Linked DNA regions of Macaca fascicularis. The protein of the gene in region 2 interacts with the protein of the main gene of each other region in a biochemical or structural test. Links are inferred from orthologs where the notes say so. Each region holds a gene or a part of one and is shown on either strand. Other genes may lie near its edges. The genes, in order: RTKN, RHOA, ARHGAP32, PLD1, KCTD13, MCF2 and ARHGAP35.

Region 1 (4,197 bases), on a different chromosome or scaffold from region 2:
GGAGACCAGCCTTACCAACATGGTGTAACCCCGTCTCTACTGAAAATACAAAAATTAGCCAGACGTGGTGGCAGACACCTGTAATCCCAGCTACTCGGGAGGCTGAGGCAGGATAATCGATTGAACCCAGGAGGCAGAGGTTGCAGTGAGCCGAGATCATGCCATTGCACTCCAGCCTGGGTGACAGAGCGAGACTCTGTCTCAAAAAAATAAAAAATAAAAAATAAAAAGTAATATATATTTGTAATGCTTTTTAAGAGATAGGGTCCTTGGCTGGGCACGGTGGCTCAAGCCTGTAATCCCAGCACTTTGGGAGGCCGAGACGGGCGGATCACGAGGTCAGGAGATCGAGACCATCCTGGCTAACACAGTGAAACCCCGTCTCTACTAAAAAAAAAATACAAAAAACTAGCCGGGCAAGGTGGCGGGCACCTGTAGTCCCAGCTACTCGGGAGGCTGAGGCAGGAGAATGGTGTAAACCTGGGAGGGGGAGCTTGCAGTGAGCTGAGATCCGGGCACTGCACTCCAGCCTGGGTGACAGAGCGAGACTCCATCTCAAAAAAAAAAAAAAAAAAAAAAAGTGATGGGGTCCCACTATGTTGCCCAGGCTGGACTTGAGCTTTTGGGCTCAAGCCATCCTCCCACCTTAGGCTCCCGAGTAGCTGGGACTACAGGTATGCACCACCACCAGGCCAGGCTAATTTGTGTGTGTGTCTGTGTGTGTGTGTTTTGTTGAGACAGGATTTCACCATGTTGCCCAGGCTGGTCTCCAACTCCTGAGCTCAAGTAATCAGTCCCCCTTGGCCTCCCAAAGTGCTAGAATTACAGACTTGAGCCACTGTGCCCAGTCTTTTTTTTTTTTTTGAGATGTAGTTTTGCTCTTGTTTCCCAGACTGGAGTGCAGTAGCACAGTCTCAGCTCACCACAACCTCTGCTTCCTGGGTTCAAGCAATTCTCCTGCCTCAGCCTCTCAAGTAGCTGGGATTACAGGCATGCGCCACTACGGCCGGCTAAATGTTGTATTTTAGTAGAGACGGGGTTTCTCCATTTTGGTCAGGCTGGTCTCGAACCTGTGATCCACCCTCCTAAGCCTCCCAAAGTGCTGGGATTGCACCGCGCCCGGCTGCTCTTTATGGCTGCAAATATGGGGCACTTGCCTTGTGCCAGGCACTATGCTGGGCATTTTACCCTCATTCTTCTAGGTAATCCTCATAGCAACTTGAGAAGAGGTGATAATTACAGTATTCCCACTGAACAGATGAGAAAACTGAAGCTCAGAAAGGCCAATGACTGGACCAAGTCAATGACTGCAAGGTGAGTCAGTGGCAGAGCTGGGGTTTCACGACGTGTTTAAGCACCGCCTCATCAGTTGTGGCCACTAGGCTTTGGCGGATAGCCTCGCAGAGGAGCCTAAGTGGGGAGGGGGACGAAGAAGGAATATTCGGGACTGTGGGATGTTGAAATGGTCTCTTCAGAGGCTGCCGGGATTGAAACTGGGCAAGGTCCCAGGGCCCGAGTAGAGCCGGAACGTGCTACGCGGCGATCCCTTGGCCACGGGGTTTTCAGCGCCCGTGAAGCCAGGCTTGCCAGGCGGGGGCGGCTGGCGGGGCAGGGCTTCTCAGCCCGCCCCAAGTCCAGGTAAGCGCTTGCGACCCGCGCGGGCAGGGAGAACGCGCCTCCGCAGTGCTCGCGAGGTGCAGGGCGCCTCTGGCTCCGGGGCCGTCGGGCCAGGTCGGCTTGGCGCCCAGGGACTGGGCGGACGGGCTGGGCCTTTGGCGGGGGTGGAAGAGGAGGTTGCCGCGCCCTGCCCGGCCCAGGTGTCGTCTCCGGGGGCGGGGTTTGGAGCCCCGCAGCGGGAGATTCCCGGCCGGACTGGCGGGCAAGCGTCGAGAGACAGAAGCCGCGGAGAGGAGACTAAGCCGGGCGGCGCGGGGAGCGCACTGCGCAGGCGAAGTCGCAGGGCAGCCAACATGTTCTCCCGAAACCACCGGAGCCGGGTCACCGTGGCCAGGGGCTCCGCCCTGGAGATGGAGTTCAAACGCGGCCGCTTCCGACTCAGCCTCTTCAGCGACCCGCCCGAGGTGAGAGACCCGCGTCCCTGCCTTCCCCTTCCGCGGAATCCCGGGGGCAGCCCCAGCCACCTCGGCCTCCTTCCCTCGCCCGCGTGGACGCCGAGGGACGGGGACGCACTGTCTGGGTACAAACCCGACGGAGTTGTTGACTTGAAAAGTAAGGTGTGGACGGTCTGCATTTTCACTGGATCCGTGCTGCCCATTCCCCGGCCTGGTTAGGATGATTTGCCTGAGCCTGGAAAAAGCCAGGTTGGTCTCCATTTGTAGGGCCCCAGCTCGACTCCCAAAATGTGCCTGGACCCCAAAATGTCCTGGGTATCCCCAGGCCAAGGGCAGTGGGCAACTAGGCGGGCCCCAAACGCTCGGACTCTTGGCCTGGGCTCCCGCTTGTTCCCCTGCCGCCAGCCCCATCCCACAACCTGTCGCAGCCATCTGGGCCAGCCTGTCATCAATCCCGACTTTAGGCCGGGGTGGCTCGCTTCTCGGAAGCCCAATTCAAAGGCTCCTCTATGCCCCTGCAGGGCTTTTAACTCTTTGGGGTTACTTCCCACACGCAAAATTTCCGCCTCCTTTCCTGGTGCCTAAGAGGAGTCCAGCCCCTAGGCTGAGCGTTTCCCCCGTCCACCGTCCACGCGTTAACCGGTTGGAGCCCCACCTGTAAAGCCCTAGAGGCTAGGGCGGGGCTGAAGGTGTGTGGTTGAGCGGGGACTAACAGGGCGAATAGCTATCCCGAAGACTCTTCTGTCCCCAAGGTCAGACTCACACTCGCCCAAGGAGAGCCCAGTTCCAAGCCTTCCCTTCCGGGTCTGGAAAGGGTTAAGTGAGGTGGGCCTTCCTCCCGCCCCCTCGCCCTCCCGGCTGGGATTCCAGGCCTGGCTTCTGCCCTTTCCCTCCAGCCTGCCCAGAACAAAGGCTCTTTCACACCCTTGTCCCGGTGTCCCGTGCCTTCTCTGATTCAGAAGCTGGTGGGCCTGCGGAGAGGGGGCCTTTGTCGGGTCCCCTTGCCCCCAAGCGACTGGGCCCGAGGAACCCGCGTGGGGCCAGCGTGGGGCAGTAAGGGGCGAGGCCTGGGACCAGGAGGAGGGGCCTGGGAGCTGGGGCCGCCCCTGGGATTAGCCTGGCCTTCGGGGACAGCTCGGAGGAGCTGGGGCGGAGCCGCAGAGCCCGGCGGCCGCCGAGTGGAGTGTGACTCCGTGGGCCTGGCGTGGAGGCGGGGGCGCTAGGCTGCAGCTGGCTGGGATTCGGGGCTGGTTTCCTGTCTGGAAGGGAAGGGGCCTGCAGAAGGGAGCGGGACAGCAGCAGACAGGCACACCCCTGCTTTCCTCTCTCCCTCTCCTCCCTTCTCTGGAAAAGCGAGGTAATTGTGAGTCCAGGGTGGAGCGGGCTGGATGGGGGCCCTGAGTTGGAAGGGGTGGCCCTGGGGCTGGGCTGCTTTACCACCTCACCCCTTTGTCCTGGGCTCCCTGGGCTCACTCTCCCCTGAGGTCCTCACCTCTGTGGCTCTTTTTCCTAACTTTCTCAAACTAAGCCGGAACCCCTCTCGGAAAGCTCCAACCTCCTGCAAGCCCTATGGCTCTAGAACCTGCATGAGGCGTCGTTTCCCTGCCCCCTTCCAGTTGTGCCTGCCCCTCACTGCCCTCTCCACACATAGATTCTCTGTCCACCAGGCCAGGGATGTGGGCGGGGGCTGGGGAGCGGCCAGAGTCGGAATGAAAGGGCCTTTTTCTTCCACAGCTGGGAGAACAGCTGCCACCAAAGCGAGACTGGACACTCTGTGCCTAGAGCCCCCTCTGCAGCTGGCCTTTCCTCCTGGGACCCCACTCATCCTCACTTCGCTTTCCTTTTTTTCCCTGCCTGGCTCACAGCAGGGCCCCGGAGCAGCAGTGGGCGAGGAAAATTTGTCACAGCAGCCAGAGAGGTTTAACAGGAGTGCAGAGGGATAAGGGCAGCCTCTGACCTCTGCCCAAGAGCTGGCCACCTCTTTAAAGACTGAGGGAACAGTGGGAGGAGGAACTGTGGGACAGTGTGGTACCTGTCTGTCCCCCCTCTGGAGGGGCTGACAAAGGAAAGGGCACTGGGGGGCACAGAGATGCAGGACAGATTGCACATCCTGGAGGACCTGAAT
Region 2 (3,605 bases):
AACTAGGTAGAAATGTGATGACATCTTCAGGATTGGTGTCAAGTAATAGCCCTCTTATCTTAGATTGATACACCATACATAGAAAGATCCATTGGCTTGGGGAAGCAATGGTAGGTTGGCATTTTCATAGCTCATTTCTCAAAAGCCTAGTGAATGTGTATTACTGGTTGTATCCTAACATTTTCTCCAGAGAGTGGCCGTTAGTTGCTGCATGTCTGTGAGCATGAACTGGAAGAGTCTTTTCCACCTGTGGCAGTATGTATGTTTTGGAAGCAGCTCTTAGGTTCTCTTGGAAACATCATCTCTGCCTGGGCATCTTGGAACAACCAGAATCTTGCCCATAACAGATTTAGAGATCTTGACTTAAAACCTTGAGGCATGGTCTGTGAGAATCTTGTGCTGCAAACGTTGGACATCACTGACCCTCGCAAGATAGGGGGAGGTCCTCAATTGAGGAGAGTCCCCCGGAATAAAAGTGTTTGATTAAAGAGCATATCACAGGCTACCTGCCTGCCTCAGAGCGACTCAAGAGTCCCCAAGATGGGAGAGGGTACTGTGTAGGAATATTCATTTAACAGTATGTAATAGTACAAGGCTGGACACCATAGCTCACACCTGTAATCCCAGCACCTTGGGAGGCTGATGTGGGAGGATCACCAGAGGTCAGGAGTTTGAGACCAGCCTGCCCAACATGGCAAAACCCCATCTCTACTAAAAATACAAAAAATTAGCTGGGTGTGCCTTAGGCTGAGGCAGGAGATTCACTTGAACCTGGGAGGCAGAGGTTGCAGTGAGCTGACCGCCACTGCACTCCAGCCTGGGCGACAAGAGCAAAACTCTGTTTAAAAAAAAAAAAAAAAAAAAACCAAAAGCAAAACAAACAGGAAAAAAACACAAAAAAACAGTATGCAGTAGGACAGCCTAGGGAACCATACAAGATTGTAGGTGATTATGGTACCAAGAGTAGGCCGGCTCACAATGAAAAGGCTCCTTTTGATATGAGACAGGCTCAACACTTTGGCAGCATTTTATCAGGCGCCAATAGAGGCTGAATATATGAACACCGTGGGGTGGAGGGGGCTGAGAGAGTGGGATTTGTAAATGGGCTCCATTATTGTGAGGACAGACAGATTGTGATAATTGGGCATCAGTATATCTTTGTTACACATGATGGTGTGCATGACAGAAGTACGGTGGGCCTTGTGGCGGTTCTTTGTGATGATGCATCCTGGGGCAAAAGTTGGGGGGTAGAAGAACTGTCAGTTTTAGGGAAGAAATCATTTGGAAACTGAAATTTGGGCTGTGGAGGTGCTAAGAGAAGAAAGATGTGTTCCAAGTATTGGAGGGAAACCTCTTGGGCCTCAAAGGGCCTCTGTACAGAGGATGTTTAACAACGTTTAACATGGAGTTTGGTGATAAGAAGGGGTAGCAGAGCTGGCTGCAGTGCTGGACAGTGTTGAATGGGACTTGTGTTCAGAGCCCAGGCATTAGTTTACCCTTCTACCACAGAAGGGTGAGGATGTACCCGGATGTGAAAGGAGTACTCTCTCACCTTATGTGATGCATTATTTCAGCCATTTCTTGAGTAGTAAAGGCATAGCCAAAAGGACTTTGCTGTCATCTCAGGCATCTCAGGCCTTGCCTAACACCCAGCATGGTGTCTTTTCCTGCCTACCAACTCAAAATACAGATTTGTCTCCATGGTTTCCACATTATAGCAGAAAATTTACTTAGTCTTGTATCTTCCTCTCTTGCCTGTATGCCTGGTGGAATGTTATTTAAAATTTGACTTCTTCCCTCCTGTCTGCTTTCTTTCCTAGTACAATGTTACTTATAATTAAACACTTTTATAAGTTACAAAGTTATTTTTGATTTGACATTTTGAATTATGCCACTTGGTTCAGTTCTAGTATCTGTTTTGTTTTTTTCCTAATTGAGACAAGGTCTCCCTCCCTAGGATGGAGTGCACAATCTCTGCTTACTACAGCCTCCGCCTCCCAGGCTCAAGCAGTCCTCCCACCTCAGTCTCCCAAGTAGCTGGGACTACAGGCATGCACCACCACAGTCAGCTAATTTTTTTTTTTTTTTTTGAGACGGACTTTCGCTCCTGTTGGCCAGGCTAGAGTGCAACGGCGCAATCTCGGCTCATTGCAACCTCCGCCTCCCGGGTTCAAGCGATTCTCCTGCCTCAGCCTCCTGAGTAGCTGGGATTACAGGCATGCTTCACCATGCCCGGGTAATTTTGTATTTTTAGTAGAGATGGAGGTTCTCCATGTTGGTCAGGCTGGTCTCAAACTTCCGACCTCAGGTGATCTGTCTACCTTGGCCTCCCAAAGTGCTGGGATTACAGGTGTGAGCTACCGCGCCCGGCCCACACTCAGCTAATTTTTATTTATTTTATATTTATTTTTTTCTAGAGACAGAGGCTCGCTCTGTCGTCCAGGCTAGAGTGCTGGAGTGCAGTGGCGCGATCTCGGCTCACTGCAACCTCCGCCTCTCGAGTTCAAGCAGTTCTCCTGCCTCAGCCTCCTGAGTAGCTGGGACTACAGGCACACGCTGCCATGCCCGGCTAATTTATTTTGTATTTTAGTAGGGACGGGGTTTCACCGTGTTGCCCAGGCTGGTCTCAAACTCCTGAGCTCAGGCAATCAGCCTGCCTCGGCCTCCCAAAGTGCTGGGATTACAGGCGTGAGCTACTGCGCGTGGCCACACTCAGCTAATTTTTAAGGTTTTTTTGTAGAGATAGGCTCTCAGATTTTCAATTTTGAGAAATTTCAACGTAAAATAATTTAAATATACTCTCATTTGAGCTTGATGCTCATAAAAGTAAATACTCAACTGGGCACAGTGGCTCACGCCTGTAATCCCAGCAGTTTGGGAGGCCAAGGCGGGCAGATCACGAGGTCAGGAGAACGAGACCATCCTGGCTAACACGGTGAAACCCTGTCTCTACTAAAATACAAAAAATTAGCCAGGCGTGGTGGCGGGTGCCTGTAGTCCCAGCTACTTAAGAGGCTGAGGTAGGAGAATGGTGTGAACCCGGGGGCGAAGCTTGCTTGAGCCAAGATCGTGCCACTGCACTCCAGCCTGGGCAACAGAGTGAGACTCCATCTCAAAAAAAAAAAAAGAAAAAATGTAAATACTCCTGTGTTTTACTGTTTTAGACCGTCTGCCATTTCAGTGTACTATGGTAAGTGTCACTTTTTCTAAAAGTGGGTAGGGGGATTAACCTTGCATTTTTGTGGTTGTTTTTCCCATTACAGGTAGAGTTGGCTTTGTGGGACACAGCTGGGCAGGAAGATTATGATCGCCTGAGGCCCCTCTCCTACCCAGATACCGATGTTATACTGATGTGTTTTTCCATCGACAGCCCTGATAGTTTAGGTGAGTGGCCCTGCATTTGCCTGTGTAACTGGTTGGCATCTGGTTTCTGGGCATCAAGTGGCTGAAAAGCAGACATGAACTTCAGAGAAGCAATCATCAGTGGCTAGAGTCCTGGAGTTTAGGACTGTAGAGTGTGGGCCTTGGGTCCCTTTCAGCCTAGGTTTCCCATGGCTACTTTATTTAAAATGTATCCACCTAGGCAGGGCACGGTGGCTCACACC
Region 3 (4,074 bases), on a different chromosome or scaffold from region 2:
CCTTAGAAATTTGTAAGAACTTTTTATATTTGAAATAAATAAACCCTTTGTGATATGTTTCAAATATTTTTTTCTCAACTTGTTTGCATTTTGACTTTGCTCATAATGTTGTTGCTGTTCTTGGTTTAAAAAATTTTATTTGAAAAGTTTTTAAAATTTATATATATATATTTTGAGACAGAGTCTTGCTGTGTTGCCCAGGCTGGAGTGCAGTGGCATGATTATGGCTCACAACAGCTTTGAACTCCGAGGCCCAGGCGATCCTCCCACCTCAGCCTCCTGAGTAGCTGGGACTACAGGGTACACCACCACACTTGGCTGCTTTTTTAACCCCCATAGAGATGAGGTCTCGCTACGTTGCCCAGGCTGGTCTTGAACTCCTGAGCTCAAGCGATGCATCCATCTCAGCCTCCCAAAGTGTTGGGATTACAGGTGTGAGCCACTGTGCTTGGGTTTTTATTTTCAAACGTGAAAATTCAAGAAGACATCAGTGGATGTCTTTTTAATTTTTAAGTTAATCAGATACAATGGAAGGTGAGGGCTTTGCAGTTTGTTGCTGCTCAGTAAAAGACAAATAGCCATGAATATCCAACAGGTCAATAGTTTCTGTCAACATGGCTCTTTTCTAAGTAACAGTTGTGTTGTTGACAGTCATGGATGCTATATTTCACTCATTTCCCAGCAAGTCATTTTATTGCCACCGTGACTGTTTGCAGTTTAAATGTGTAAAAACTTTGCATGCTTTTTTTTTGAGGTTATTGTCAGCATCTTTGAACGTGTGACACTTAAACTTTTTCTTTCGAGGATTGTGGACAAGCCCAGCTTTTATGTCTCACTCTGGATACTTGAGCAGAGATGCATATGGCAGTCCTTACTGAGAGGAAGGAAAGATGGGTATAATATTGGAAGGCATGAACCTAGGCAGGTCCCTAGAGCATACTTATCTTCTCTACTTATTGTGAGCCTCCTTAACTGTGAGATCTATAACTGTGGTTCTCATGTGCTTGGCCCGTGGATGGTGTTGTTCTTTCTAGTTTTCTGTTTACCTTTCTGGAGTCTGAGATCAAAAAAAGGACACAAATAAAGCTTGCAATTTGAAAATACCTATTTTTAACTTACTAAGTGGAAACTTTGAGAAAAGTCATTATTACAGAATAATTAGTAAAAAATCACCTTCATTTGGATTCTGCTTTTGGTTATGTAGGTCACGCAGCCTAAGGCAGTGGGAGGGTCTAGGTGTCACCCAGTATGGCAGTCAGACGCAGTGACTGTGCTGCCTGTGATTTCCTGTCTGTACCCTGACTGTAATTAAACCAGCACCAGTACCTGTCACTGGGGTACCAGCCACACGTCTGAGTATACATAAGTAGAGCTGAACAGCCTGAATATTGGTGCTTTTTATTCCATGCCTGGAGGTCTAGTTGTGTTTTTCTTTTTTAAATACAAGATGGAGACTGAAAGTGAGAGTAGCACTTCAGGGGATGACAGTGTCTTCTGGTTGGAGTCTGAAGTTACAGTCCAGGTGACTGACTGTGAAGAGGAAGAAAGGGAAGAGAAGTTCAGGTAACTATGGAATTCACAGTTCCTTTGTCCTCTTCACTCCCTACCCCCACCCGCACCCCTTTTTCTTCTCTGCATTTCAGTCTCTTTTCCAATAAGACTTTCTGTTTTCTGGGGGAAGGTTTGGAGCTGAAGGGGGCAGGTTTTGAGTTGTATATAGCACTCCTCATTCCAGAACTTGCCCTGGACTTGTAAAATGCATTTTACATGGCTTGTTAGAACACCAGGAGGAGAAGGTGTTAGACAGGTTTTGTAGTAGCCTTTCAGGAATTTCAAGTAGAGACTCATAATGAACTACTACCCCTTCCTGTATCTGATTTGTATCAAATAGATTTGATCTGAATTTGTATCTAATAGATTTTTCTTCCTCTTTTTCTTGGAATGTGGTGTGTGTGTGTGTGTGTGTGTGTGTGTGTGTGTGTGTGTGTGTCTGCGTGCCTGCCTGCTTTGTTGGCCTTATGCATGGGTATAAAAAATTTTGATTAAGTACAGATTGGTTATTTTGTGACTTTGGTCCTTACCCTTGCCTCTGATCTTATATCTCACACCCCCCCTTCCCCCAAATCTCTCTTGGATTTTGAATCTCTGGTAGTATTAATAACTTCATAATTGAAGTTTTTAGAGGATGCCTCCTGATGAAGCAACTCTCAGTTTAGTGTCAGTGGTGAAGAAAGATGTCTTAACCAGTTTGTGAGAACAGAACCAGTGTTTCATTCATTCTGTTGTACTGTTGCAAATTTTAAGGGACTTTATTCTGGCTTTTCTTTTTCATTCAGAGTTAGCAATTTAATACTTTTAGAGCATCACAAAATCTCTTGATGAAGTTTGAAGTTTGCACTGCATGTCATCACTGCCACTCACGTGCAATTAAACATCTTTTGTAAGTTTACCTATGAGAACTCGGATAGGTGAATATACTATTTTCGTCAGATACTGTCTTTGTGTTTAATGCTGAAAAAGAGTTTCTCCTTTTCTCTAGTCAAAGGATTTCTTTATCCACAAATTTTATTTTTTAAAGTCTAGGTTAAATGATGGAAGGGATTGAATATTGGGAACTCTTGATAACCCTCACTAAATTTTTTACTCAGGGGTTCAAATAAATGAGAAGTATATTTTAAATTTTAAAAGAATAATTTTCAGAGTATAAAAATGAATTATTTTATTAGCATATGATTATTTTTTGTCTGAACTTTCTCATTTTCTCATAATTTTATTTAGCCTTTCAAATTTGAGTAAGTCCCTTCCCTTCCAAGGTCTGCTAATTGTTAGTCACATCTTCTGCTTTTTAATATGGTTTGTGTCTTGCTAACAATGAGTAGGAATAAAGTATTTGTTTTGTTTGTAATAAAACTTTTTGACCTGGTGTTCAAATTGTGGAAGTTATTTGGGTATTTGTCAAAGGAAGAAACCACTTGGAACTTATTTCGTCGTTGTTTTTATAACAAATTTGGTACTGTAATCCTAGATTTACTTGTTAGTCAGTGGGTGTCTCTCTCGGATTTTCTTTTGACATTTAAAAGCAAATTTGTGTAAGACTGAGCTCTTCTTTTCCTTGGGAGTATGTGACAGCATTTTCATTCTGAGAAACTGAGCTAGTGATGTGTTGTTTAAGGAAACTGTGATACCATAGGGCATTTGTCTTCTGTTTATAGTTGTATTTCCTATCTGAATAGCACCATGGCTCTCCTCAATCAGTTACATCTTTGCAATTTGATCTTATTTTATTTACAAATGTAACAATGAGGTGTGGGCAAGGCCCAATTTCATGTAGTGTTTCTCACACATTCAGCAGTGGGGCATGAGGAAATGCGGCAGCAGGGTGGTGTCACAACCTCGTGGTGGCTTCCTGCGAGATGCCTTGCAGGAAAATGGATGTGTGGGTGTGGAAGGGGAAGGATCGGATAGAACTTGCAGCTGTAACCTTGGGAGGACCAAATAGTAGACTCAGTGTGGTATGACCGTTGTTTTTGTAAAATTAATGTAATAATTAAAAAAATGTCTTAATGAGTTTTTGTAAAAATCTCTGCTATAATACATGTGACACCAAGCTGTCGTATTGGTTACATTTCCATTCACATACACACACACAACTAATGAGATGAGGGCAAAAGGTTGTGCACTTTTCTTTTTCCCTGAATAGCTTCTAAACTACATTTTAAATGCACTCCTAAAAGCCTGCTCTTGTGTAAGTTGAGGCACCATGGCTAAGAGAGTAAAGTCACACCGCACCTAGAATGTAGGCCTCTGGTGCTTCCAGGTGCCATCTGCTTTAGGAGGAAGTACTCTCAGAGACAAGTTAATGTTTGTCCAGTAGCTTTGGAAATAGCATTTATTTTTGGACTCAGTTGGATGAAAGGATCCTTTTTATTACATTCTTGCACTATGGGAAGTTGCCAGTCTCCGTCATGGAGGTAGTTTAAACTTGTCTGCCATTGACTTGCAGATCTCTCATTTTCTGAATCTTACTTGTAGTGTGAAGCTAGTAATCGGTATTATTACCCACCTTGTCATTGT
Region 4 (3,601 bases), about 29 Mb from region 2:
CTCTTGCTCTAATTTAAAAACAAAGTCACAGAAAAACTCTTTCTGCTCAATTTTCAGCTTCTTAAATCTGGCCCAAATCACAGGTATTATAATAATTGACTTACTGTCATCATTTGTACTGTCATTCACATTTGATGCAGTAAAATTTTGCTTTGGGTCTCAATTAGCAGCCAATGTCTATGTGCAAACATCTCTTAAATCTTTTTTTAAAAAAGTTATTGTCACGTAGTCTGAAGGAGGCATTATTTGAAGTGGAAACAGAACTTTGAGGTTATAAAAGTCAAGAATCCTATGGTGCCAGATCCATTAAAAAAATTTTTTATATAGTGGAAATAGTGCAGACTAAAACTAAAATGAGTGTCCTTTAATATCTACAGAATTGTACTTTTTCAGGAGTTGATAATGTTGGAGAACACTGGGAACATATGCATGCTTAATAGTGTTTGTTTTTGGTACAGCCTTTCTTGCAGTAATTTGCATATTCTCCGACCCAAGAATTTTAATTCTAAAATTTCTTCTAATGAAATAATCACAGAAATGTACAAAATCACTTTTGATGAATCAACTATGTTCACTGGAACACTGTTTATAATAATGGGAAATTGGAAATTACCCAAAAGTCGGTAATAAAATAATTGGTTCAATAAATTTCACATGATAGGAAACTCTGCAGCCATTAAAATGATGATGCAAATCTACATTTATTTAAATACAAAGAGGGTAACAATATAATGATGTCTAGTTGTTAAATCCGGTGGTCAATTCTTATCTGAATTGGACAGCTCTCCTTGATATACTTCTTTGTGTGGTTTCAGGATCCCACATCCTCTGGCTTTTCTCCAGCCTCACTGGTTCCTCCTCCTCTCCCTTACTGTTGATGTGCACCCAGTCCTCTCCTCTGTCTGTCCTCACTTATTTGGTGAACTCAGAAAAAAATACAGCCTTTGAGCACATGCGTGAGGACAATTCTCAGATTTATATCTCTAAACAAGCCTTCTCTCCCAAACCCCAGTTGCATTTATCTGCTGCCTACTCAGCACTGCCACTTGCGTCTTTATAAATGTCTCAATAGGCTCAAAATCGAATTCCTGATCTCCCACAAACCAGCTCTACCCACAGAATTCCCTATCTCAGCTAAAGGCGACTACAGTTGTACATTATTATAGTTGCTCAAGACAAAAACCTTGCAGTCATCTTTGACGCCTCACTTTTTGACACACCCTACACATTCACTCTGTCAGTAAAACCTGTTGGGTCTATCTTCATCTCCACTGCCACCCAGGCCCAAGCCACCATCGTATCTCACATGGATTATGGGAGTAACTCCTAAATGGGCTTCCTGTTTCAACCCTTGCACCCTAGAGTGTGTTCTCAATACAGCAGCTGTATTTTAATATGTAAGTCAGATTCTGTCACTCCTCTGCACTGACGTCTACACTCTCCATTTCATTTAATATAAAAGCCAAAGCCCTTACAAGGCCAATTTTCCTATTGCTCTTTCCAGATAGCACAGGTCTTCTTGGTATTATTTCAGCCCATCAAGTATGTGGGAAAAGGACTTTGCCCTTAGTTTGAGTTCTAGCTCCATTACTAGTGTGCCTTGAGATGTTAGTTTCCCATCTACAGAATAAGAATCATCTGTCCTGTCTACCACACAGGATTAAGGTGAAAGTGCTTTTTAATCCTAAAGGCTTCTCTAAGTACAAGGGTTATTATAATTTTCAAATATCACTTCTAAAACTTGTCTCATTTGCTTGAGAAGTTTTTGTTATGTCTAGTCCCCTGTTTATGTAAGGTCAGTTCAGATAATAGTTCCTTTTATGTCAGGCACTCTGAGGATATGCGAGTAGCCAGGTCATGGTCTCTCAAATAATTTGCATATATGTATATATATATATTTGCATATATAGAGATAGGTAATAATAGACATATATCCTGCAACAAACTGCTTTATCCCAGTTACTCAATGTGAAGGTCACTTGTATTTCAGGGTCGTCCTTGGCTATCTTGATGACCCAAGTGAGGACATTCAGGATCCAGTGAGTGACAAATTCTTCAAGGAGGTGTGGGTTTCAACAGCAGCTCGAAATGCTACAATTTATGACAAGGTGAAGTTCACATATTCCTCCCCCCTTTCTTTTCACTGAATCTCATCACAAAAAGCATATTGTTATTTCTGCATATTATCGGTACAGGGTATTCTTAATACATGTAAAAAAACTAATACATTTCCAGGTTGTAATAAAATGCCTCTTTGTGGACCCTGAAAAACAACAGCAAAAAGCATCATGGATTTTGGTTTAGAAAAGTCTTTAGCAGCATTCTAATCTCTCCTGTGACGCAGGAATCCCATCGGCAGCATCCTTAGCACCTGGTTACCCAGCCTTTGTACATGTCTAGTGACAAAGAGAAGAGGGGCAGATGACATCAAAAAATAAGCCACAGCTGAGTCCAGCCTAGCTCAATTTGCTGGTATTATAACCTTGTATATAGTGACTTGACTTTCTGAATTTCTTTTTCCTCTCCTATAAATTGGGAGGAATATTCACAAGGGTAGTTATGAGGACAAAGAATAGTCTAGTGAATGTTTTTAGCACATAGTGTATAGTAAACAGTATTCATCCTTATGATGAAGCTTGTTAATATTAATAACAAGACATGTCATTTGTTGGACAGCTCTAGTTTTAGAAAGGTGTTTTAACACCAGCTCCATTTGATGCATACCAAATGTATCGCCTGTGAAGTCTACCCTTTGGTTATAATAAAAAATGTAAAAGAGTTCAGAGTTGTGTAACAGTGGAACAAGTTACTTCAAAAAGTAGCTAGTTGCCCATCAGGGAAAAATATACAAGCTGTGTTCTAGCCAAGACTAATTGACCATCTGTGAGAAGCTGGAGAAGTCTGTGTTCTTCTTCATGATTTCCAGGTACAGACGTGAACCTCTTTTAAAAACATTAGGGAAAATACGCAATTTTTGTCTTAGAGCTCCTTCCAGCAGAGAGACTTACTCTTACTGAAACATGTCTACTATCTGTATAACTTTATTTCTTTTCTTTTCTTTCTTTCTTTCTTTTTTCTTTAAATTGACATGGAGTCTCGCTGTGTTGCCCAGGCTGGAGTGCAGTGGCATGATCTCGGCTCACTGCAATCTCTACCTCCTGGGTTCAAGTGATTCTCCTGCCTCAGCCTCCCGAGTAGCTGGGACTACAGGTGCCCACCACACTCGTCTAATTTTTGTATTATACAGGCTGGTCTTGAACTCCTGACCTCAAGTGATCCACCCACCTTAGCCTCTCAAAGTGCCGGGATTACAGGCATGACCCAATGCTCCTGGCCCCTGTATAACCTTATTTCATCCTGAGGACTGAAGGCTGTGATCAAGTAGGCCATGTGCATAGAGTCATTAAAATGTAATTTTACAAATGCAGTGCACAGCCTTATTTGAGTCCTGGATTTGGGGGAAAACATCTATAAAAGACATTTTGGGGATAACAGGATAAATTTGAATATGAAGCATAACTTAAATGACATTATATAATTAATTTTCTTAGGTGTGAGAATAGTATTGTGATTATATAGGCACATGTCCTTATTCTTAAGA
Region 5 (4,240 bases), on a different chromosome or scaffold from region 2:
TTCGTGGTTTGGACAATGTTCTTGTTTCTGTGTTGAGGCTTAATTATGGAATGGTCTTTTTCTCTATCATCAGTCAAAGAGGGACCTTGTCTGATGTTTTTTGTGAAATTATGCTCAACAGGACACCACCATGGCCTCACTGTTGGTGCCAGGCCAGCTCCTAGCAACATCAAGGCTTCTGGAGTGAGGGTGCAAACCAGCTCCCAGCTGGCAGCAGTTGCTTTCCTCTTTTACACCGCCACACTCAAAATCAGAATTGGCAACCCCTTTGGTAGAACATGAGCTCCTGGTCACTATAAGCCCACTTATACCCAGTAACGGGCCTACGTCACTCATTTACACTCTGACCTCTCTCCTGCGAGGTTGGTGATTGCACCAACCACGCCCAGAGAAAAGTCACTCTTCCAGCATCTCCCAGGGACCTGCTGGCAGGGCTGAAGATAGAACTCTGACTCTGTGTTTTCCCTCCAGCAACTTCCCTTGCTAGACATTGAAGTGGATTGTTAAATCCCTGACGTATCGGCTTCTAAACTGGATGCAGATAGGGTCAGATAAAAACACTTCTCAGTGCACCTTCTTGTCAACAGTGGGTTCCTATCTTTTCTTCTTTCTTTTGGGATTGGGTGCTAGGTCCCATGACATTAGCTAGGATTCTAAGACCTTTGCTCAGCTGCTGCTGCCACCACTGACACGCACTCTGCTCCTCAAATACGGAGAGCGTGTTCCTGCCTTGAGGATCTTTGCATTTGCCTTCCCTCTGCTTGGAACTCTTCCCTCACATCCGCTTCCTAGCTTCAGCTCGGCATCACCTCCTCAGAGAGGCCTTCTATCCTTGGTGCCCGGGCACCACTGCTACCCCTTTTGGCTTCTTTTTTTTTTTTTTTTTTTTTAAAGGATGCTATGTTGCCCAAGCTGGAGTGCAGTGGTCCGATCATGTATTAACTTCAGCTTCCAACTCCTGGCTTCAAGCGTTCCTCCTGCCTCGGCCTCCCGAGTAGCTAGGCTTACAGACTGGGGTTACAGGTGTGAGCCACCGCGCCCGGCCGCTTTGGCCTCCTTTAAGAGCTTCCCTCCGCGCTTTGTTCCAGTTCTCGTCACGGTCTGTTCAGTGCGCGGGGTTGGGAGGCGGGAAACTGCCCAATGCCCAGACCTCACGGTCTGTTTCTCCTCAAGCTCGTGAAGCTCTCTGACAGCAGAGACCCAATCACGAGGCGGAGACTTAGCCTTCCACATCGGCCAGCGGGTCGGCCGCATCCTCGATCTGGTCTTGGGGACTCGAGACCAGAGGGAAGAGCACGTCGACCCGCCCGGGGGACCTTAGGGCCACACGCCACCTATCCACCGGCTTCCCCAGCAAGCCCACTGCGCATGCTCCATACTCCAGCCCCGTCCCCATTCAGGGGCGGGCCGCGCCTGCGCAGCTACCCGGCACTGGCTTCCGGGTGGTGCGAGCGAGATGGGGCGGAGGGCCGGTCTCGCTGAGTAGAGGCGGTGAGTGGGCGTGTGCGCGGAGCGGTCTGGCCCGAGGGCTAGGGGCTGGCCGAGGGTCTTCGGGAGCAGGTCGCAGGGCGCGGAGAGAGCCTGGGATCGCCGTCTGCCGCTGCTACCCGGTATGTCGGCGGAGGCCTCGGGCCCGGCGGCCCCCGCGGCCCCGTCCCTGGAAGCCCCCAAGCCCTCGGGTCTCGAGCCTGGCCCCGCCGCCTACGGTCTCAAGCCGCTAACCCCGAACAGCAAATACGTGAAGCTGAACGTGGGCGGCTCGCTGCACTACACCACGCTGCGCACCCTCACGGGACAGGACACCATGCTGAAGGCCATGTTCAGCGGCCGCGTGGAGGTGCTGACCGATGCCGGAGGTACTAGCGGCGCCCCCACCGTGCCCCCATCCCCAGATCCCCAACTCCCGTTCCCCTCAGTCTCTCACCAACGGGGCTCCTCATGCCCCTTCTCTCTGCCCGCTGCTGTCCCGTCAACTCATTCTCAGCTCCCTCCAGCCCCGACATCCCATCTTCTCGCCTTTTCTCATTCATAATTTCTCTTCTCCTCCCCCAATCCTTTACCCCCAGCAATAACCAACACTTACGGAACCCCTAACTCTGCCAGGCGCTGTGGTAAGTGATTGAACGTGTCAGTTCATAATCCTCATGACTACCTCTCCCACCCTTCACGTCTCAGCTCAAGACTTGGGAACCAGCCCTGCTGCCTGCAGTACTACTCCTGGCAGCCTTCATCAGTTTCCTCCGACCGCCCAGCCTTTTGTTTCCCTCTCTGCTTCAGAACTGCTAACAACCAGCCAGGAGGGCTGGGAGATCTTGTCTGCCTCTGTGTTCCCCTGACACAGGTCCCTGTACGCTCTAGGAATCCATCTGTATATACACATTGCAGAAGGAGGCTGCTTTGGGTTTGCCAGGGACACCAGAGTGGAGGGTGGACAGGTGTCCTTGGCAGGTGAACCTTACCTTCTTGGAGTGTTGTATTCAAGTTTGGACCCTTCGTGCCCAAGTGAGACCTTGAAGTTTTGGAGTTTGGGAGTGGGAGAGTCTTAAGGGAGGGGTTAACAAGGACTGTGAGAGCAGTAGAATAAAAACTTGGGAGGCGGAGATCTGCCTTCAGGTATCAAAGGTGAAGAATTCGGCCAGGCACGGTGGCTCAAGCCTATAATCCCCGCACTTTGGGAGGCCAAGGCGGGTGGATCACCAGAGGTCAGGAGTTTGACACCAGCCTGACCAATATGGCGAAACTCCGTCTCTACTAAAAATACAAAAATTAGCCGGGCGTGGTGGTGTGCGCCTGTAGCCCAGCTACTTGCGAGGCTGAGACAGGAGAATCGCTTGAACCTGGGAGGCAGAGGTTGCAGTGAGCCGAGTCGGCGCCACTGCACTCCAGCCTGGGTGACAGAGTGAGACTCTGTCTCAGAAAAAAAAAAGGAAGAATTCATTTGTCCAATGAGTATTTGTAAAATATCAGTTAGTGCTGGAGATAGGTAAATGAACCTGACAAAATTATATAACTTCCCTTTTTTTAGGGAGGTGAGAGATCGGAAGACCAATAAGCAAGTAAACAAAATGTATATGCATATGCAATTGCAGATAGTAGTAAGTTCTTTCTTTTTTTTTTTTTTTTGATAGTAAGTTCTATGAAGAATATAAAAGTTAAAATGGCAGTGAACTGGACGGGGGAGGTAGACATTTTAATTAAATAGAATGGTGAGAATTAGCATCGGGGGTTAGCGGTTTATTGATAAGGTAATTCTGCAAGAACTTTCTCGTGGTGAGAGTCTTCTGACTGTAGACCAGATTTGGATGAATTAATTCTCTGGCTGGATATGTATAAACTTATGAGAGAACTCGCTGGAGATGTTTTAAAGAGATTTCTTGGCTGTGGCACAGGCTTGAGACAGATCAGTATTCAGACTTTTTTGTGGCTTTGGAATCCTTTTTCTTTTCTTTTCTTTTTTTTTTTTTTTTGAGATGGAGTTTCGCTCTTGTTGCCCAGGCTGTCTCGGCTCACCACAACCTCCGCCTCTCAGGTTCAAGCGATTCTCCTGCCTCAGCCTCCTGAGTAGTTGGGATTACAGGCATGCGCCACCACGCCTGGCTAATTTTGTGTTTTTATTAAAGACGGGGTTTCTCCATGTTGGTCAGGCTGGTCTCGAACTCCTGACCTCAGGTGATCCGCCCACCTCGGCCTCCTAAAGTGCTAGGATTACAGGCCTAAGTCACCACGCCTGGCCTTCTTTTCTTTTTCTTTTTCTTTTTTCTTTTTATTGTTTTGAGACGGAGTTTCCGTCTTATTGCCCAGGGAGTGCAATGGCGCGATTTCGGCTCACTGCAAACTCCACCTCCCAGGTTCAAGCTGTTCTCCTGCCTCACCCTCCCAAGTAGCTGGCATGCGTCACCAAGCCCAGCTAATTTTGTATTTTTAGTAGAGATGGGGTTTCTCCATGTTGGTCAGGCTGGTCTCAAACTCCTGACTTGAGGTGATCTACCCGCCTCAGCCTCCTAAAGTGTTGGAATTACAGGTGTGAATCACTACACCTGGCTGGAATCCTTTTTTCTTATAATTTAGGCCAGGTTTGGTGGCTCACGCCTATAATCCAAGTGTTTGGGAGGCTGAGATGGGAGGATCACTTGAGCCCAGGAGTTTGAGACCAGCCTGGGCAACATAGTGAGACTCCGTCTCTACAAAAAAATAATTTTTAATTTAGTAGTTCCAGGTCACTCAGCAAAGCCATCTTTCC
Region 6 (3,605 bases), on a different chromosome or scaffold from region 2:
CCAGGGAGATTGCCATACCAAGGAGAAGAAAAGTACTTATGCTTAGAAATGTAACTTAACATATTAATGAAAGAACCCGTGACATCCACCCTGAATGTAAGTAAGAAGTTATTTTCACAGTGTCCCAAACTATCTTTATATTCTCACTCCACCATTCCAACTAACCTACTTCCGCTCAAATACCACAATTTAAGATGAATAGTGATCTCATATTCAATATTTTTAAAAATTAATTTTGTTTCATTACATGGTTTTATCTTAATAACATGATAAGCCGGAAGGCACACAGGCTTTGAAGTTAGAGAGGTCTGGATTGGAATACATCTCTACTATTCACTTGCTAGCTATATGTCTTGGTGCAAGTTGCTTAACTTTTCTAAACTTCAGTTTCCTCAACTATAAAATGGAAAGAACATCTATTTCATAGGGTTGATATAAGGACTAAATAGCATGGAGTAAATGCTTAGATTCTATAATGAGCTTTTTAAAGTATGAATTTGAATAGGCCGGGCACGGTGGCTCAAGCCTGTAATCCCAGCACTTTGGGAGGCCGAGACGGGCGGATCACGAGGTCAGGAGATCGAGACCATCCTGGCTAACACGGTGAAACCCTGTCTCTACTAAAAAATACAAAAAACTAGCCGGGCGAGGTGGCGGGCGCCTGTAGTCCCAGCTACTCGGGAGGCTGAGGCAGGAGAATGGCATAAACCCGGGAGGCGGAGCTTGCAGTGAGCTGAGATCCGGCCACTGCACTCCAGCCTGGGCGACAGAGCTAGACTCCATCTCAAAAAATAAAAAAATAAAAAAAATAAAGTATGAATTTGCTTTCTACTCCTTCCCCTATTTAAATTGCAATTTTTTTGTTATTTTTTATTGCAAACATCTAGTACATCATTATCGATTAAGTGAACTTTTCTGAGTTGCCCTGGAAATCTAACCATTATGTATTGCACATAGTAAGGACTATGTGCAGGTTTGTTAAATTTTTAAAAATCAATGATAATAAACACATGAACTAAGGAATCTGAAGGACTTGAATCTCCCCATCTGGTGAACTTTGACTTTAGATAGGGCCTTTCCTTGTATATAAGTGGCCAACTTAAAATATAACATATAAATCATTAGAAAGTACATGGTCAGGCCATGGGGTTCCAGGTTTGTATGGTGCAGTCAAAACAAGAGTTCATTTAAAGTGAGAGACATAGACAAAGGCAACAACAGACACTGGGGACTACCAGAGGAGGGATGGAGGGGGAGGGACAAGGGTTGGAAAACTAACTCTTGGGGACAATGCTCAGTACCTGGGTGATGGGATATTTGTACCCCAAACCTCAACATCATGCAATACAGCCAGGTAACAAACCTGCAGATGTACCCCCTGAATCTAAAACAAAAGTTACAAAAAAGTGAGAGAGAAGGTTATGATCCTCTCTAAAAAGGGTAAGACTTTGAAAACAATAACCCAAATTGTTAAACAACACATTGACTAGGAATGCTAGCAATTGCTTAATGCTGGAATCTCATGATAAGCAGGCAAGCAGAAGTGAGCATAGTGAACCCTAAGAAATATCCTAATTTTCAGTGGTATCACCATTTTCCCAGGAATCCTGGTCTAAAGCCTTATAGGCATCACTGGCTAATGTTTTTTATTAAGGATATTCGGCATTACTGGGGAACCAAAGAAGAATCAGAAAGATTTTCTTCCTTCAATGTCAGGTATTATTTAATTTTTGTAGCTAGTAAGTCATCAAGCCCATCTGTCTACTTTCTATTGAAATGTTTCTTGCATCTATCCCACCTTCTCTGTTTCCATGGTACTTAACTGCAGTTTCAGTTCTCATGACTTAATCACCTAATATCCCCCTTACTTTAATGTACTCAAGAAACCTTTTGTTGGCATGTCCATCATTGTAACAAATTAAAGGTAAAATAGAAACTTAATATGAAATAGAAATACTGTATTAGGTAGAAATTAGGTCACCTCACAATAAAATGTACATCAAATGGATTTGGGTCAAATATGCCTATGAAGGTAAAGTACATTCCCAAGGAATAGGTATATAGACAGCAAGAGATTTGAGCCCTCTGTGACATAGATTACAAGTTTTTGGTTCTCAATCAATGTTTGTTAATGACTTAGAAGGCCCTTTGAGATTTGGGGGCTTAGAGGTGGACTGCTAAAATCAAAGGAGCAACTGGATGAAAACAAGAGTTTTAAAGAAGCTGCTGTGGGTTCAGAGTGAAGCAGGGAAAATAGATGATAGGAAGAACTACTTCTTTTTGACCTGACCCTGGGCAGGAACCTTGTTAGAAACAACTAGGGGCTGCTGATCCTATGGGAAGAATCAAAAGCAAGGCCTGCTTATAGGTAGTCTCCTAATACAAACACCTCATGCCTGTCTCAAAACATATTGCCTGTCCACTTTATAACTGCTGCTGAAAATTTTATCAATTGTCAAATATACTGGTGATGAGAACCATGAAAGAACATGCTCATGAAAAGTGACTAATGTGATAGTGGTTGGTGAATTAAGGACAATCATTTTCTCTATTTTTGAAATTTTCTGTGACAAATGTTATATTGGTTTTAGAATTTAAAATTCAAAAGATGAAATTCATTAGATGTAAAAAAAACTTCAAATTTGTCAATTATGGGTATCATGTGAATTGGAAGTTCCTCTTCTCTAATGGAGAAACCAGCTGTTAAGTATCATTGGGTTGTCAATAACTTCCCCAAACAAAACTGTTCTCATTTTAATAACAAACTAATATTAGGAAAAAAATGGGGATTTTAGTTTATAGGAGAGAATAAAGTAATTTTGAAAGATGGAACAGGATAGATATGGAAAGGATTCAGCTATAGGTGGCTTTGAACACCCAGGAAGGGTGGAGTTAGGGAATGGAGGAGGAACATGGAAAGGAAGGTGGGGACATGCTAGATACAAAAGTTATCCATTTTTAAATTGCATTGAGGAAAAGGAGGCAACTCTTTCCTCCCTGTCTCTCCTGCAGCATAAGGCTCCTTTCTAATAAGACCAAGAACTTCACCCAGTGCCACTGGAAAGAGAGTGCTTCTGAGGAGGCCGGGACACTCCTCATAATCTCAAGCCATGCTCTTCGGGATGCTAGGGGGCCCCCTTGGGGAATACCTAATATCGTAGTGAGAAGAAAGGCAGGAATCAAAGCTATGAATTCCCTCACCTTCACTTCAAGCAGAGAAGTTATGATTCATCTGACCTCTACATAAGACTTAAGATTTAAAAAAAAAAACAACAAAGATGTGCAGCTACAGTATAAAATGTACTATTTGAAACAAAAAAAAATGTGCAAACTGGGAGACACACACACACACACACACACACACACACACACACACACGAAACAATACTACATTACCCGATACAAATTGTCTTACTTTCCAACAGTGTTTAAAACTGTATGATGGGTATCTATCAGAGCCTTCTCCACTTTCAACACGCCTTTTGCAAAAAACAATGGCTTTTTCATACAAGAAAAGATGTCGCTGCATTGGTTTGAATCTAGCCAAATCCTTCATTTTTGTAGCACCTTTCTTGTGTCCTACCCAAACACTGAATCCACCTTGC
Region 7 (4,033 bases), on a different chromosome or scaffold from region 2:
TCTGTACTTCCGGAGGAGTCCCAGAGGAACACCTCCTCAGTTCAGAGGAGTCAAGGGTTACAGCGGTGCCCTCTCCCATCACTACTCTTTTCCTTTCAGGCGCCCTAATTGACATTTGATTTGTAGTCATTTGCACAATGCTAAGTGACAGGCTTGGGCTGCACACAGTACCAGGCCGTCTTCCCTCTCCTGGGGATCAGGCGATCACAGAACCAAAAACAAGTTGCAAGGACGCGCGCGTTGGCTGCGGATTTTCTTCACAGCCAGGAGAAAGAGCACGCGCTCTCCATCCCCGCCTCTTCTTCCGGGACGACGAATTGCGGGGCTCGGATTGGGCTGAGGCGGGCCACGCCTCCTCATATCCTCCAATCAACTCCCTCTCTGGTGGGCTCCCTCCTTCTCAGCCCCGCCCCACCGCCCCACGTTACGTCGCTCCTTCTGGCCTCCTCCGTTATCCCGGGGGCTGCGGCTCGCGCGGCAAACCCACCTCCCGTTGCTTCCCATTGGCTGCTCAGGTCCCGCGCGAGCGGGATCGCGCCCTTCGCCCCCCACCCCCAAAACCGGGCCATGCCTCTCTCCTTCGGCTTTCTCCAGAAGCCAGCGCGAGGTGGCAGATCGGCTGCTTGAGGCGCGCGCGGAGACGCGCGCTCCTCCTGCGGGCCACTCCCTCTGCCCTGCGCCAACAGCTGCGCTGGCTGGCAGCCCCCCGCGCACGCGCGCTCCCCCACCCCGCTCCCTCTGCTCGTTTGCAGCTCGCCTAGAGCTCAGTCACGACGGCGGCCGCCGCAGTAGCTGCATTTTTGGGGGTGCACGCGCACTGCACCGTCCGCGGCGGTTCCTAACCTCAGGCAGCGGCGGTGGCAGTGAGACCCTCGGGTGCGCACGCGCTCTGACCTCTCCCCACTGCCTCGCTGGTCGTCCCTTCGCGGCGCGCGCCCAGGGGCCGTTATCCCCCTGCAACGGTCCACGCGCCGCGCACGCGCAGTAGCGAGGGGGCGCGCGCGCGGGAGCGGCCGTCGCAGGAAGGAGGTGCAGCCGCTGCCGCCATTGCGAGTGAGGGAGGGAGGGAGGGAGGGAGTGAGCGAGGCTGGTCCGCCCTCCCCCTGGTTCCCGCCCCTCCCCCCTTCCCCTCCCCGCCCCCCGCCCCGAGGGAGAGCCGCGGCGCGGCGGCAGGAGGAGGTGGAGGAGGCGGAGGAGGGAACCCGCGAGGGAGGGTCCGCCCGGCCCCCCGCCGCCGGAGCCGCCGCCGCCGCCGCCGCCTCAGCAGCCGCTGGACTAGGAGCAGGGGAACATGGCGCCGGGGCCCCCGTCGTTGCTGCCGGGATCCTGGAGGCCGGGGCCGCGCTGAGGGCGCCCAGCTGGTGAGTGCGCGAGCTCACGGGCCCCGGGCGGCGAGGCCGGGCGCCGCCCCGCTGAGGGGTCCAGGGGGAGGCGGGGACGGCGGGGCCCGGAGCCCGCGAACAATGGAGGAGCTGGAGGGGGAGGGGAGGAGCGGCCCCCCCAGCTCCCCGGGCCCCGCCGTCCCCGTCGCTTCGCGCGTCGGCCCGGCCCGTGGGGCCTTTCTGCCCTTTGGACCTACCCCTGCCCGCCGCAGCCCTGCTGTCCTCGCTGCCGCCCCCACCCCCGATCAGTTGGGATCTCGGTGTCTGCCTCAGAGCCTCTCCGACTTCAGCCATCCGGCTCCCAATTCTGCGACCCCCTTCCCTCTTCCACCCCTCCATAATGCCCTTCGCTCCTCCCGGGCTCTGCAGTGCTCTTGGGACCCACCTTTTTCTCATTGACCATTCTGCATCCCTTAATTGTGGCTCCCACTTTTGAGATCCGTGACCCTTCTGCTTCTTCTCGATTCTGCTCTCACCACCCTTCAGATCTGTCCTCGGCCCCTTCTTTGACCTACCTGCTGTGCTATTATTCTTGTCTCAGAATATGTTGCACCCTGGGAGCTGTCCCTTTAGGACCTGCGGTTCCAACCCCTTGGAGATCCATCTGAGACCCCTGTTCAACCAGGCACTGCTGCCCCAGGTCTTCCCCTTGGACTTAATCCGGTTCCCTCGTGGGCCCTACTATCTGCATTTCTGTCTGCCCTCTCACAGAGCCTGCTGCACCCCGGGATGCCCCTCGGCTGGCCTTCTGACCCTTCCGTGCCCCAGTTCATTCCCCTGATCCCCTCGGACTTGGCTGCACCGTGCTTGCCTCTTCCCCTTCTCAGCTCTTGTTACCGTTTGCCATTCAGACCCTTTCCTCTCTTCCATACCTTTCTGCCTCTTAGCTCTGCCCATTGCCCGACCTCAGATCTTGCTGCGCTCCCCTCACCTGCTTGCTTCTGACTGCCTTCCCGGGAAGCAGCCTCCTCCCGCTTCTCTGACTCTGCAGGTCTCCCATTTCTGCTGTTCACTCAACTGATCTCTCCCTAACTCAGACTGCCTTCAGTTTCAGCCCCAGTGTTCTCTTGGAGGTTTCCTGTTTCCCCCACCTCCTTTTTGGCACTTCTCTGAGCTACTGCATGCATTTGCTACTCCTTTCTTTGGCCTGTATCTCCTTCAGTTCTCTGCCTAAAAACTGCTTCCTGTCCCCTTTGCTCCAACTCCTCTCCTCCCCGTTTTAGCCCTTAGACATGCCCTTTAACGTCACTATACCTCTGATACCTCCCGGGCTGGTCACCCATCCCCTTCCCGTTGTGCATCTCACAGACCTGCCCCTAGATCCATTTTGTACCTGCACTTTCTCCTCGTTTTTTTCAATTCTGCCCCATCCTCTATTTAGTGTTTCCCTCCCCAGCTCGGCTGTTTCGGAGCTGTCCACTTGCCCGCATGTTTTTAGACCGGTTTTTAACTTCTGTATTGCCGTCCGCGCTTGGAGCGGTCCTTTAACACTGGGGTTCTTGTCACTGTGTCCCCTCTCTGTTCCCTCCCGAGTCTTAAGTTTTCCACATGACATTCTCTTCCCCCCACCATTTTGATTCAGCCTTCACCCTTCACTCTGCTTTATTTGCCCCCCCGTCCACTGCCCTGCCTCTTGTCTTCTTTTGGAGTTCTCACTCCCTCCAATTGTGACATTAAGATGTCTTCTTAATCATTCTTTCCTATGTATCCCCCCCACCTTCCTCTTGGAGCTGCCTCAGTGCTGTGATAGATTCTCACTCCCCTTACTCACCTTTGATATCCCTCTCCCAATTCTGTTCGTCTTGGACTTGTTTCCTTCCTCACCTTTTTTTTTTTCCCTTTCCCCTTGTATCTTGGCAGGCTCCTCTTCCCATTTAGTTCCTATCAGACCTGCTCATCGCAGCTCACCACCCGTGGCCCACCCATTCCCCATTGAGCACTTCCCCTTTCAGGCATGTCTTTCTCTGTTTTCCATCCCTCTGCTGCAGAGGCAAAGGGGCTGGATTGGGCCTTAGGCTCTCAGGCTCTGAGACTGCAGATTCTCTCTCTGCACCCTAACCCTGAGGGTTCTATCCCCAGGGATCCTGAGAGATCTGGGTAAATAGGTGGGAGTTGGTTGATTGTTACTGCTCTGTGGAGTCTGGGAGTGTCTCCCCCATTTCTCCCACTTCCACTAGGTTAGTAGTGTGGAGGGAGGTAGATCTCTTTCCGTTGCCCCATTTTCTTTTCTCTGCTGTTTGCTCTCCCCCTTCCGATTTCTGGGCTCTGCAGCTTTGTGTCCTTTGGAAAAGGGGATTGCAGCTGCTCACAGATCTTTATTCTCTTTCTCACTTTCCCTCTTTCCTTCTCTGAGCGGTTGCATACAGTACCCTGTCTCCTATTCCACCTCTAAGCCAGCACCCCTAGGAGTGTGCTTTTTTTTCCCCCAGCTGACAAGTCATTTTGTTTTACCTCTAGCTGGGGAAATGCCAGTTCTCAGATTCTCCCGATCCCACTGGGGGTTATGGCCACACTTGGACCTAGGGAAGCTACAGTCTTGCCTTCCCTAATGGCCTCTGGTTTGCAGTGTGACCTTGGGGGAGGGGATGGGGAAGGTGGGCTTATTATTTCTTTTTCACCTCTGCTCCAGGGAAGGCTCCAGCTTCCTGGTC

Evidence for each region.
Region 1: the proteins of RHOA (region 2) and RTKN form a complex in vitro, tested with the Homo sapiens proteins (8 studies listed by BioGRID). The link is inferred for Macaca fascicularis from reciprocal best matches to the Homo sapiens genes RHOA and RTKN.
Region 3: of the proteins of RHOA (region 2) and ARHGAP32, one has a biochemical effect on the other in vitro, tested with the Homo sapiens proteins (3 studies listed by BioGRID). The link is inferred for Macaca fascicularis from reciprocal best matches to the Homo sapiens genes RHOA and ARHGAP32.
Region 4: the proteins of RHOA (region 2) and PLD1 form a complex in vitro, tested with the Homo sapiens proteins (2 studies listed by BioGRID, with this or other methods). The link is inferred for Macaca fascicularis from reciprocal best matches to the Homo sapiens genes RHOA and PLD1.
Region 5: of the proteins of RHOA (region 2) and KCTD13, one has a biochemical effect on the other in vitro, tested with the Homo sapiens proteins (2 studies listed by BioGRID, with this or other methods). The link is inferred for Macaca fascicularis from reciprocal best matches to the Homo sapiens genes RHOA and KCTD13.
Region 6: the proteins of RHOA (region 2) and MCF2 form a complex in vitro, tested with the Homo sapiens proteins (2 studies listed by BioGRID). The link is inferred for Macaca fascicularis from reciprocal best matches to the Homo sapiens genes RHOA and MCF2.
Region 7: the proteins of RHOA (region 2) and ARHGAP35 form a complex in vitro, tested with the Homo sapiens proteins (3 studies listed by BioGRID). The link is inferred for Macaca fascicularis from reciprocal best matches to the Homo sapiens genes RHOA and ARHGAP35.

Annotation. Positions count from the first base shown.
Region 1 is NC_088387.1:47,504,287-47,508,483, forward strand, and holds the start of RTKN (rhotekin), read left to right. Parts: upstream 1-1,367; 5' UTR 1,368-1,462; coding exon 1,463-1,638; exon of another isoform or gene 1,639-1,817; coding exon 1,818-2,081; intron 2,082-3,212; exon of another isoform or gene 3,213-3,435; intron 3,436-3,806; exon of another isoform or gene 3,807-4,161; coding exon of another isoform or gene 4,162-4,197. UniProt on the Homo sapiens protein: Mediates Rho signaling to activate NF-kappa-B and may confer increased resistance to apoptosis to cells in gastric tumorigenesis. May play a novel role in the organization of septin structures.
Region 2 is NC_088376.1:112,365,599-112,369,203, reverse strand, and holds part of RHOA (transforming protein RhoA), read left to right. Parts: intron 1-3,263; coding exon 3,264-3,384; intron 3,385-3,605. UniProt on the Homo sapiens protein: Small GTPase which cycles between an active GTP-bound and an inactive GDP-bound state.
Region 3 is NC_088388.1:127,704,071-127,708,144, reverse strand, and holds the start of ARHGAP32 (rho GTPase-activating protein 32), read left to right. Parts: upstream 1-1,245; 5' UTR 1,246-1,405; coding exon 1,406-1,563; intron 1,564-4,074. UniProt on the Homo sapiens protein: GTPase-activating protein (GAP) promoting GTP hydrolysis on RHOA, CDC42 and RAC1 small GTPases. May be involved in the differentiation of neuronal cells during the formation of neurite extensions.
Region 4 is NC_088376.1:83,081,699-83,085,299, reverse strand, and holds part of PLD1 (phospholipase D1), read left to right. Parts: intron 1-1,990; coding exon 1,991-2,108; intron 2,109-3,601. UniProt on the Homo sapiens protein: Function as phospholipase selective for phosphatidylcholine. Implicated as a critical step in numerous cellular pathways, including signal transduction, membrane trafficking, and the regulation of mitosis.
Region 5 is NC_088394.1:28,174,673-28,178,912, forward strand, and holds the start of KCTD13 (BTB/POZ domain-containing adapter for CUL3-mediated RhoA degradation protein 1), read left to right. Parts: upstream 1-1,430; 5' UTR 1,431-1,612; coding exon 1,613-1,856; intron 1,857-4,240. UniProt on the Homo sapiens protein: Substrate-specific adapter of a BCR (BTB-CUL3-RBX1) E3 ubiquitin-protein ligase complex required for synaptic transmission.
Region 6 is NC_088395.1:145,854,590-145,858,194, forward strand, and holds part of MCF2 (proto-oncogene DBL), read right to left. Parts: coding exon 3,416-3,605; intron 1-3,415. UniProt on the Homo sapiens protein: Guanine nucleotide exchange factor (GEF) that modulates the Rho family of GTPases. Promotes the conversion of some member of the Rho family GTPase from the GDP-bound to the GTP-bound form. Isoform 1 exhibits no activity toward RHOA, RAC1 or CDC42.
Region 7 is NC_088393.1:54,850,829-54,854,861, forward strand, and holds the start of ARHGAP35 (rho GTPase-activating protein 35), read left to right. Parts: upstream 1-1,142; 5' UTR 1,143-1,361; intron 1,362-4,033.